3 linked regions of the Cricetulus griseus genome follow. The main gene of each other region encodes a partner of the protein of the gene in region 3 in a complex. Links are inferred from orthologs where the notes say so. Each region holds a gene or a part of one and is shown on either strand. Other genes may lie near its edges.

What was found.
Region 1: the proteins of Rai2 (region 3) and Ctbp2 are in contact, whole or in part, in a crystal structure (PDB 8ATI), measured with the Homo sapiens proteins. The link is inferred for Cricetulus griseus from reciprocal best matches to the Homo sapiens genes RAI2 and CTBP2. Residues at the interface, in NP_001166210.2 of Homo sapiens: Glu315, Ala316, Leu317, Asp318, Leu319, Ser320, Met321; in NP_001077383.1 of Homo sapiens: Leu35, Arg42, Cys44, Met48, Val57, Ala58, Phe59, Cys60, Asp61, Glu67, Ile68, His69, Lys71, Val72.
Region 2: the proteins of Rai2 (region 3) and Ctbp1 are in contact, whole or in part, in a cryo-EM structure (PDB 8ARI), measured with the Homo sapiens proteins. The link is inferred for Cricetulus griseus from reciprocal best matches to the Homo sapiens genes RAI2 and CTBP1. Residues at the interface, in NP_001166210.2 of Homo sapiens: Glu315, Ala316, Leu317, Asp318, Leu319, Ser320, Met321, Lys322, Trp326; in NP_001319.1 of Homo sapiens: Arg36, Cys38, Met42, Val51, Ala52, Phe53, Cys54, Asp55, Gln57, Gln60, Glu61, His63, Val66.

Annotation. Positions count from the first base shown.
Region 1 is NC_048596.1:67,839,048-67,842,693, reverse strand, and holds part of Ctbp2 (C-terminal-binding protein 2), read right to left. Parts: intron 2,388-3,646; coding exon 2,233-2,387; intron 2,005-2,232; coding exon 1,860-2,004; intron 1-1,859. UniProt on the Homo sapiens protein: Corepressor targeting diverse transcription regulators. Functions in brown adipose tissue (BAT) differentiation. Isoform 2 probably acts as a scaffold for specialized synapses.
Region 2 is NW_023276807.1:102,317,171-102,321,270, forward strand, and holds the start of Ctbp1 (C-terminal-binding protein 1), read right to left. Parts: upstream 2,894-4,100; 5' UTR 2,704-2,893; coding exon 2,664-2,703; intron 1-2,663. UniProt on the Homo sapiens protein: Corepressor targeting diverse transcription regulators such as GLIS2 or BCL6. Has dehydrogenase activity. Involved in controlling the equilibrium between tubular and stacked structures in the Golgi complex.
Region 3 is NC_048604.1:96,682,405-96,685,981, forward strand, and holds Rai2 (retinoic acid-induced protein 2), read left to right. Parts: upstream 1-1,446; coding exon 1,447-3,045; downstream 3,046-3,577.

The sequences.
Region 1 (3,646 bases), on a different chromosome or scaffold from region 3:
GCTTCACACAAGACCCAGTTATCACTACCTGCTAGGTCCACTGTGGAGTGTTCCCTTCCAGGAACAGGGCACACCTGCCACTCGTCTTACTACTCTCCAAAGGGTCTGCTGGCTGACTTGATAGGCACCATATGTACTTAGAGCTAAATGACAGACACTGCTGGAGGACCATCTATTTCATTAGCAGAAGTCTTCTGAATAGCCACTCCAATCACAATGGGCCACAATAGTGACACTTCGTGTCCCCTTTACACTTTTCAACGCTCTGGCCCTAGGCAGTCTGTTTCTTGGACTCTGACTGGAGAAGAGGGGCTGACTACCAACAGGAACTATGTGTGAGAGACAATGGGCTAGAAAGCTGAATGTCTTCCTGCATAGTCCCAACTCAGGGAATTTATCTCTATTCCTGACAGACACACGTCTTTTGTTTGCTTTTTTTCTAGACAGGGTTTCTCTATGTAACAGCCCTGGCCTGGAATTAACTCCATTGGCCAAGCTGGCCTTGAACTCAGAGATCTACCTGCCTCTGCCTCCCAGAGTACTGAGATTAAAGGTGTGTGGCCACTTCCTTCAGGCTCAGATACATATTTTTAAACACAAGCATACTTGCTCGTGTCTGGGAAACATCTTTTTTCTTTTCTTTCTTTTTCTGAGACAGGGTCTAAGTAGCTAAGGCTAGGCTCAAACTTGCTATGCAGACCAGGGTGGCCTCAAACTCAAGAGACCTCCCTGGATAACAGGTGTATAACACCGCACCAGGTAGTTTTCTCAATTAAACTCAGGTACGTGGCCTCACATCAATCACAACAAGTTTCTTCTGTTGCCAAAGAGGGGCTCAGAGGGGCTGTAACTGGAAAAGAACAAGGCTGCTTAGGGTAGGGACATAGGAAGCCATGATTACCCAGGACTCTCAAAAGCCCGGGCTGAATAGGACTGATTCTGCTTTACATGAGATGTCTACCTTCCCCTGTGAGGTTGCCCCACAGACATACTGTGGGCATTGGCTGGTGCCACCCGGCACAGCTTCCTTTGTCCTTTTCTTATCCTGGGGTTCAGGCTCATAGTAACTGCTGCTCTAAATGCAAAGAAACAGAAAACTAAAAACAGGCACCCACCCCTCTCAAAGCTGCAGGCTCAGACTGTGAAGGGAAGTTGGATCCAGTGCTGCTTCAGTGGCCAGCATGGCGGGTGTGTCTGGGTTATAGACAGAGCTGTCGAGTCTAGCGTTAGGCCCGGTGCAGAGATGACTGTGAGGCACTGCGCACACCTGGCTTTGCTGTCCTAGGAGTTAGTTCCAGGAGCCCTTGGGGTGAGGCAGCAGCAGGTGGTAGGCCCAGGCTGATGGTACGAGCATTACTATGCTCAGGCTGCTGTGGCACCATCGGTACATGGGTTTCTAGTTATTCTGAGGTATTTCAAATGCATGAGGCTCATGAATAAAGAGGCGGCACACTTTATTCAGACAAAATACGTGGCTCTGAGGCACTCCCCACTGACCCCCCCAGGCTCTGCTGCCAGTGTACACCAATTCTCATGGGGGTGTGGGCAGGAGTCCCCTGTGCCACTCAGGTACTCTACCTTCCTGCTTAGCTTTCTACCCGCCTGTGGTTTTCTCTGAGAAGCACCCTGGGAATGGACAGCAGGTGGTGGCCAGCTTCTTTTGGTGTGCTCAATGAAGAACTCACTAATCTACTGCTTATCTCAAGATCTTCCAGCCCCTGAACCTGCTTCGAGCTGAGGCTGGGCAAAGGTGCATGGGAAAATGGAAACAAGACTCCCTAGGACAACTGCCCTGCCTTCTGCGTTCTGCCCATTACTGAGTGTGGCCTCCAGGCAGCCAGCATGGCCTTTCGACTCACCGAGCTCACCAGCAGCCTTGATGTCCACGTTGTCATAGCCACTGCCAATTCTCACGATCACACGAAGAGCCTTGAACTTCTCCAGGTCTTCCCTGGTGAGGGTGATAGTGTGGTACATCATGGCACCCACAGCCTCATTCAACACCTGTGGGCAGGGACATGAGTCACAGGTCAGAACCCCTGGGAACACAAGGCTCTGAGACTTTGTTAGCAGAAATTATAGGATGGAGACATGGAGTAAGTGCCTGAGGGTGGCAGAGTAGGCTAAGGACATCGGGAATTCCATACACTTTAGGCATTCCTGTGTGTGACTACTGTGCTTACTGACATCAGCTGGCCTGGAGGGGCCCAGGTAAGGTGGGGTGCAACCCACCTTTTCATGGATTTCCTGAGTAGACTGTGCATCACAGAAGGCCACAGTGGCCAGATCCTTCAGGATGGGCATTTCCACGGTACAGTCTCTGCCGTCGAGCAGTGCCACTAGGGGGCGGGGATGCAGGGGGCCGTTCATGATCTGAGGGCGGATACCTATAAGGAGAAGAAATGTGTGGTAAGTACACTGTAGGGAGGGTGTCCTCAGTGGCTGATGCCAAGGCAAGCAGAGAGCACACAAGTCTGGTGGAGCCAAGGACATGACACAGCTTTACCAGCTAACGGGGGGGGGGGGGGCGGCAGCAGGGAGTGAGGGGTAGTGATGTTCCTAGATCACTGGAGGGTAAGTGCAGAGTTCTGGTATGAACTCACTTCGCTCTAAGACCCAGAGGGGCAATTGTATAGCTCACTTGAATTGCCCCATAAAGTAAAACTCTGGTCCAGTGAGATGGCTCAATGGGTAAAGGCACTTGCCACCAAGCCGCATGGCTTCAGGGTAACTGACTCCCACAGTGCAGGAGAGAACTGACCCCTGCAAGTTGTCCTATGATTTCACATGTGAACATACACAGACCCGAGAGCTGTGTCCATCTCCCTCTGGCACCCTCTCACTGCATGCAGAGACATCCTCACACCATACTGGCAGTCAGGGCAGACAGTGAGCCCAGAGTAGAGAGAATGTCTTTGTCCTGGTCTTACGGGAACAAGCTGTGTTGAAAGGGAATCTGACTGAATGGCAGCCAGACCCTGATATTATAGCATTCCCAGCATTCACCTGCCACCTGCCTGAGTGGTCGTGCCCCAAGTTCTAAAATCCTTTCATACTGGCAATGGCAAGGTAGTGAGCAGCAGGGTACACCCCAAGTCCTCACTGGCCCATGGCTCAGGTAACTGACAGGTTGGTCCTATAAGAAAACAAAGCCTCAGCCGGGTGTTGGTAGCGCACACCTTTAATCCCAGCACTAGGGAGGCAGAGGCAGGTGGATCTCTGTGAGTTTGAGACCAGCCTGGTCTACAAGAGCTAGTTGTTCCAGGACAGCCTCCAAAGCCACAGAGAAACCCTATCTCGGAAAAAAAGAAAAGAAAAGAAAGCCTCACTATCCCCAGTAGGTCCAGGTGAGGTCCCTGGAGGTGGCTGCTGTCACAGAAGGTGAGGTGACAGTGACATCACACAGTTGTTGATGTATTCATCCTGTCAATCAGCTACAGAGCACTGCTTGCTAACCAGATGAGCAGCTGAGGTATGTGAGGTTCTGATGCCACCCTGCCTTCTTTTTACTAAGGGAGCGTGCAAAACGGCCAGAGTCTAAGAACATGGGTTGAGCGTCTGGCAGTATCAGACTACATAGGTCAGAACTCCTTCCCCAGTCTCTCAAGAAGCTTGGCTTTTGGAAAGTGCTACCAGGATGGTTCAC
Region 2 (4,100 bases), on a different chromosome or scaffold from region 3:
AAGCAAGGTTGACAAAAGAGTATACTAAAAGTTTTAATTTTATAGGAAATGAGCATATCTTCTAAAGATGTCACCCCACAGTACGCAGCCTGGGCTCTGGGAAAGATGGTGCATGTTTGTGATCATGGTCCTCAGTACCTGAGGGCAGGGTGCTGCAGCTGCTGCAGGAATGCTGAAAGACTCAGGAGGCTGAACATGTCTACCCTGCAGAACTCACAGAGTCACCATTACAGTGACTGTGAGGATACAGAGTGCAGACCCTGGTGCTGGCAGACTTTCAAGTGACATGGCTGAACTACAAAACCAACGCAATATAAACTAATACTTCTCTTATACCAGCTTACATCCCAGGGCTTGGAGGCAGGCCACCCTGCCCAGCACCATGCAGGCCAAACCCTTTCCTGCCACCAGCAGAATGAGAGCTGGTGTAAAGGTGTTGCCATGCAACAAAGACCTCGGGGCATTTATTTCTGCTTCACACATCTTGCCCAGGAACCACAGGGCCACCAGGTAACATGCAGGTTCTACTCCAAGAGGGTCCTCAGCAGTACCTAGGTCTGAGGATGAATGGTCACAGAAGCCTCTGGCCAGGTTACAGGGCAGGACAGGCACCACTTTAGTTCAAAAGGCAGGCAGGAAACAGTAAGCTGCTGGAAGCTGGGGGGCAAGGACCTGATCCTACCTGAAACCCTGAGGGGAACACTGGACCTCTCTGAGCCCAAGGCCCAGCTGGAGAGGCTAAGCACACTGCTGAAACCCAACGACAGGCCCACAGGTGATAGAAGAAAAGTAAGAGACCAGAGGAAGAGCAGTGTGTCACTGAGGTCCCACCAAGAATCTACAGGCTCCAGTCTACATTATGCACAACTAACATGACATGGTAGCCTCAAACATCCTGGAAGCTGGCTGACACACATACCAGAGCCATGCCTGACCAAGCTCCAGAGTGGAGAAAGGGCAGCCTCAAACCACAGCTGCCAGTCTAAATAGTAACAAGACAAGGAAGCACACACAGTTCCGGAGAACAGTATCACCCCACATACCCACAAAGCTGTCCCTGAACTTGGCACATCCCACAGCTATTTACCCCATGTTGTGGATGAAACACAGAGAGATCACACATGAGCCCAGGATCATATTCATGGCCATAGCCACCGTTCTTCCAAAGATCATGCTGCCCCAGGACTCAAAGATGTTGGCTCCATTCTATAGCAGTGGGCCTAGTGTCCTGCATGCCAACTACAGTGGGGTGGGCTCCTGTACACTCCTGTTTATAATGAACAAATGCTCTCTGACTCTGGAAATGACAAAGCAGAAACAGTGAGGGAAAATCTTGGTGTCATCTTGCTGACACCCTGGCTCACAGGGTTCACCTTCCTGAATACTAGAAAACTCCTTCCCTTTTCCTTCCTAGAAAGCTTATTTGTCCTAACCAATCACAAACTCATCAGAACAAGGGTGATGGCCCTGGGCCTGGAAAGGTTTGACAGGCAAGGCCAAGATGCAGGCGGTCCTCCTTATCTCTGAAAATCAATGAGCTGGGCCTGCCTTCCCTACCCCACATGAAATTCTGGCCTATAACCCTGATGGTTTGGGTGCAGAGTAGCTTCCCACAAACACACACACAATATATAGAATGCCTTCAGGGAGTTACAGCTCTGAAATAGTGCAGTCTTGGGGGAGGGGTACCTACCACCGGCCCAGAATGCAGGGCAGGCCTGGAGGCCCATACCCTGCCACACCCTGAAACAGGCTGACAGACTCTGCGAAACGGCCTTGTGTGATAAGAGGCGCAGTAGGCCATCACAGGGCGCCTCCCTCCTTCCCTCGTGCCCACAGTTCCGTATTTCCTGCTGGCAGCACACACTGCAAGGATCTTTCAGGCTATGAGGAAGACGGCAGTGAGTGTCCTTGTGAGGGCAGAGATGGGTTCAGGCAGGCCCTTTTATTATTAAGGTAGAAGAGACAGAGAGGGGGACACCATGGGGCGCTAGGACGGTGGGCAAAAGCTCCTCTGGGCTCTGCAACCTCTGGGCCGCCCCGCCCGAAGGTGGGGTCGGTCCCACTGCGCGTGCGCCAGGCTACGCAGCCAGCGAACGCCGCCAAGACTGCCCTCCACCAGCAGGACTCCTGCGGTTTAAGGACTTTCACAAATGAATAAAAAACTTAAATGGTCCAAGGCCAGGGGCCAAGCTGAGCATCACTAAGTCGCCTGGAGGCGTGATGGGCGTGTATGCCACCCATGTTCCCTCAATGCCACCTCTAGAGAACTGCTCCCGGATCCGCCAACCCGAGGCCCAGGCGGGATTCGCAGGCTCGTCACTCCGGGAACACCTAGGTCCCGCCCGGATGGCCACGGGAAGGAGCCTCGTGGGGCCATAGGCCAAGAAGACGGGCCCAGCTCGGTCACAGCCTGGGTCGAAGCACCACAGGCCTCTTTGTCACCTGCACGGGTCGCGAGCGGGTAGGGGAAAATAGGGACGCGCACTCATGTGCAGCAGTTCGCGCATGCGCCCCGCCCTGTGGCCGCACCGGCCCCCCCCAACCCCGGCGCGCTCACCGAGCGCGCACGCGCACTCGCACACAAAGCCAGCGCCGCGCGCGCCCGGCCGCCCCCCCCGCCCCCCGCCGCAGCCGGAAATGCGCGCGCGCGGCGGCCTTACCGAGCGGCAGGCCCTTGTTGAGCAAGTGCGAGCTGCCCATTGAAAGGCGCGGGTGGCCGCGGCGCCCGATGAGTGTGGCGGTCTCCGCCGCCGCGAGGCCTACGCCTGGGGCGGCTTCGGCGCAGTCTGCTGCTCCGCCCGGCCGCCTGCGCCCGGCCGCCGCGTGCCGAGCCGCCACCGCGCGCCGCCAGCCGCGCTCCGACCGACGAGCGGGCGGGGACACGCGCGCGCGCGCGCGGGCGGGGCCTCGGTTGGTCTGCTGTTTGCCGGCAAGGCGGCACGCTGGACGTACGCGGGCGGCTCAGGGGCCGCGCTGCCCGCCGGCCCGGCGCTCGGCCCCCACCACTCGCGCCCCTCCCAGGCTGGATCCTCTTCCTGGACACGCCCCCAGATGTTCCCGCCCCGGGCCGCCCCTCCCCTCCCCTCCCCTGCGCGTACCCGGGACTGCGCCTCTGCCACTCCTTGGCGCGGTGACCCGGGCCGGAGCCCGCGTGGTGGAGCAGCCCATCCGCGTGGGGCGCTACCGGGCTGGTCGCCGCGGCCTCGAGCGGATAGCGAGAGGGGCGCACCCGGCCTGAGCACGGCCGGAGCCGGGGCCGCGGACCCAGGACCCAGGAGCTGGACAGCGCCCTAGCCTGGGAAGGTGATCTGAGTGGGAGGCTGGCTGTTTCTGGAACTGTCAGGCAGGCGTGGCAAGTGATACCACTTAGCGGTTCAAAAAAAAAATTTTTTCACGAAAACAGCCCAAACTGGAGGGTGCTGAAGGCCATTTTGTTACCTACATGCTGTGAAAATCAAATCTTGAGAAAAGTGGGCAGATCGAGTGACTGATGACAAGGGTCTGGGCGTCTGTTTACAGAGCAAATGCTTTGAAAATACCTTCCAATTCGATCCATTAGCTGGCATGGATAGAGAAAAGGATCTAACAGGTGGAGTTTCAAACCTGCTACGGTACTTCCTAAACAGACTAAGGGCTGGGGTAAGACCAGCAGACATACACCTCCCCTTAGCCCTCACCCCCATCCGGAACTGCCTCTGGACTGCCTCTCCCGCTCCGTTCCAGTTTTCTCAGGCAGCAGGTAACTCCCTAGAGATCGTCCAAAGGGCTCCTCCCAGTTCTTCCATCCTAGCATGGCAACTCCATGGCAGCCTGACACCTCCCATTTCAGTCTACCCAATTCTCATTTTTCTTGCACAGTGCGACCAGGGCCACCACATCGGGAGACTGTATCAGGGCTTGTTTGAAACCCGTTAGGGCCTCCCATTGCGCTAGAGGAAGCCCAGGTTTCTTGTCCCCATCACGTTGACTTGGACCCTTGTGCCTGCTGTAGGACTACCGGGCTGTCATCCTCCTACTCCAGAAATAGCCCCTTGCCGGCAGGAGTCGACTCCTGAGTATTTGAAGTGGAGAGCTGCTGGGTAGGGATATGGAAATGG
Region 3 (3,577 bases):
GACACATGAGTTATACTCCACAGAGCTGTTTGCACAGCATCATTCATTTTGCCCCCCTCCTTCCTCAAAGCAACTCCTTATTCTGTGCATTTGACATGTTTTGATGGCTTGAAAATGCCATGGAATTGTTCATTTGTTAAAGCAGCATTCCTGTTATAAGACTGTATTTCTAACACCACGATGTGCTGGATTACCTCTCTCTCTTATTTGAGACCTTGTGATGACAGTTTAGGGTGAGAAGAAAAAGACATGATAACCACAGGACTAAAGTCTACATAGGTAGGACCGGTGAGGTCAAGAATCTGTTTTGCCTCAGGCTCGCCCAGTGAAATTAAGGGTTATTGAATTATTATTAAGCCCAATCACACTCCAGGGCTGCACAGATCCCTGAGTTAGACATGGTGCCTGCCTTCTCCATGGTAACGAAGCTAAATATGGACACGTTTCCACGGAGAGACATACTGCAGCTGCAGCCCTGCTTCCTCCAGGAAGCATCCTCTCTGGGCTTCTTTGCCCCCTAGGAAGTGGCTGTCAGTGTTCAGGAGGTATCTAAGACATCAAGACCATGTCTTTCACTTTTGAGAATTTTTTTCCAACAGATATTTCATTTCTCAGCACTCCTTTCTCTTGGTAATTACATGCTGGGAGAGACCAAAGGTCAGAAAGATGGACATGTGAACCTGATAGGCTCAATGACCATTCATAAAAGCCATTTCATCTTCTCTTTGCCCTGAGGAGTGGGGTTTCTTGTTATCAGAGCAAAGGGAATGTGATTGGCTAGAGGGAGATAGCGAGACAAGTATGATGAGCCTTGGGTAAATATACTGCTCTTTCAAACTCCAAACCTATTAGAAAAATGATTTCTACAGAGCTTTTGAAATGCTTTCTGAAATTTCCCATAATTTTAATATAATCTCCTGATTATATCTACAAAGAGTTTTTAGTGTGTCATACTATAGTCATAGAATATTCAGATGTGACAAGGTTTTATATTTCCGTAAGGGGAAGTAAGTCTACTTATTGCCTTTTCAAATTTGAACTCGTTAGATTTAATCTCTGCATTTCCTAACTGTCTGACAGAGCATTGTGGAACGAAAACTTTGTTTTTGTTGAAAGATCAAAATATAAGCTGAGTATTAGGCTTTAAAATACCCTGTTTAACATCACCTGGCTATTTAGAGATTACATCATGTGTGTTTATAACTTAATCACCTGTAAATTGGGTTTTATAAGCACAGCTGATCATATGTGCGTGTTCGTGTATATTAGGAAATATCTATAATGGGTATGTATACACAGGGAGCTGGGTTGTGCTGCCCAGTTCACTAAGCTATGGAAACTATTTTGAGACTGGAGATATCTTATAAGGCAATTATAAATAGTCTCTTAAGAAAGATTCTTATCGTGTGCTCTGTGTTGCAGGCCACGTGGCACCAGAGAAAAGTGATGGATGACCTGCAGTCCCAGAACCTCTCCATGGACATGACTGACTCCCCTCCCACTTTGGCCAATAACAGACTGGAGAATGGTATGGCCCAGCTGATAACTACTGAGGCCTGGAACATCAATTCCACTGATCTGGTAAAGAAGGCCCTGGTGACCGTGCCGGCTCCATCCATTCTGAACCCCCCAGCTGAGTCTCAGAGTGGAATGGCTCTGAAGGTGGCAGCCACAGTGCTGCAGCCCCTGTGCCTTGGGGAAAGCCCAGTGGTGATGCCCATTCACATGCAGGTGGAGGGAAGCTCTGCACCAGAGCTTAACCCCAACAGCAATGCCACCTATGTTATGACGACACAAGGTCCCGTGCAGCTGCCAGTGGTGCTGGAGCAGCATGTTTTCCAGCACCTCAACTCCCCTCTGGTCCTGCCACAGGAGGCCCCATGCTCCTCAAATGCTATACACAACAACCTCTTCCAGGGGGCCGAGGACTCCGAGGCCCAGCCTCAACTTCTGGACCTGAGGATCCCAAGCCAGCCGCAGGAGCCCACATTGCCATTTGAAGCTGTGCTCCAGAATTTATTCCCCACCCAAGGCTCTCTGGGCCCTCCACCTTGCCAGCCTCCTCCTGGCTATGCTCCAGTGCCTCCGCAGCCCTTTAATTCTCCCTTGTCCCCCCTAGTCCCACCAGCTACCCTCTTGGTGCCCTATCCTGTGATTGTCCCCTTGCCAGTGCCAGTGCCCATCCCCATCCCTGTCCCAGTGCCTCAGAGTTCTGAATCCAAGTTCGGCCCCAGTTTCTCCAAGCCACCATCTTCCTTCAATCTGCACTCCTTTAAAGGCACCCAGACTACCCTGGAAAAAGATGAACTGAAATCCTTAGACATCCTCCAGCCAAAGGAGTATTTCCAGCTCAGCCGCCACACAGTTATCAAGATGGGGAATGAGAATGAGGCCCTGGATCTCTCCATGAAGTCAGTGCCCTGGAGCAAAGCTGGCGAAGCTAGCTCCCCAATCTTCCAAGAGGATGCAGCCCTAGACCTATCTCTGGCAGCCCACCGAAAGGCCGAGGCTCCCCCAGAGACACCGTATGACAGCAGTGGGTCAGCAGACAGCCAGGGTCACACTGTGCTGGAGAAACTTCCCAGTGCTATGGAAATGCCCTTTGCCCCTGCCAAGTCTCGTGAGGCCTCGGCCATGATGGATAGCCATATCAGCGGCAACAATGGCACTGAAATGGTCAACCAGCCCAGCCAGCCCAGCCAGCCGGGCAGTGGGGTGAAGGCTGAAAATAACATTGAGATTATAAGTGAGTCCCAGGCAGCCAAGGTCATTGTCTCAGTTGACGACACTGTGCCTACCATCTTCTGTGGCAAGATTAAAGGCCTCTCAGGGGTATCCACCAAAAACTTCTCCTTCAAAAGAGAAGACTCTGTGCTTCAGGGTTATGACATCAACAGCCAAGGAGAAGAATCCCTGGGAAATGCCGAGCCCCTTAGGAAACCCATCAAAAACCGGAGCATAAAGTTAAAGAAAGTGAACTCCCAGGAAATACACATGCTCCCAATTAAAAAACAACGGCTGGCCACCTTTTTCCCAAGAAAGTAAATAAAGGCTTTTAAAACATTTTTATGATTATGACATGGGGAAAGGTACATTGGTTTTTTAAAAAGTCATCTAAAACAAAATATCTTTGTTAATTATTTTGGGGCACAGGTGGGAGGCAGAAAGGCAAATTAGCTAGAACCATTTTCTTTTTTAATTTTTGACTTTTCACAAATGAGTAAATAAGAGCAACCTATTTTTCAAGCAGATTGCACATTTTTTTGCAGCTTTAATGAAATATTGGGTCAATCAGAGGGGTAAAAGCTATTTTCATTGCCACAAAGTGCTTTGATGATGTAATACCTAATAAAGGGTAGGATGAATATTTCACAATAAATGTTTGTTTGCACTAATTGGTTGCAGTATTCTGTCATTTGTAAAATTTATATTTCTCAACTGGCATGGCTGGCCTAAACTCTTGCTTGTAAAGAGCTCTAATTTATTACTGTTTAGAGACCTAAGCTCTTCAGGCACGTTGGGAAATATTGCCTTGTGCCCCAGAGAAGTAGGATTCAGTGTGTGTATGGCCTCTAGC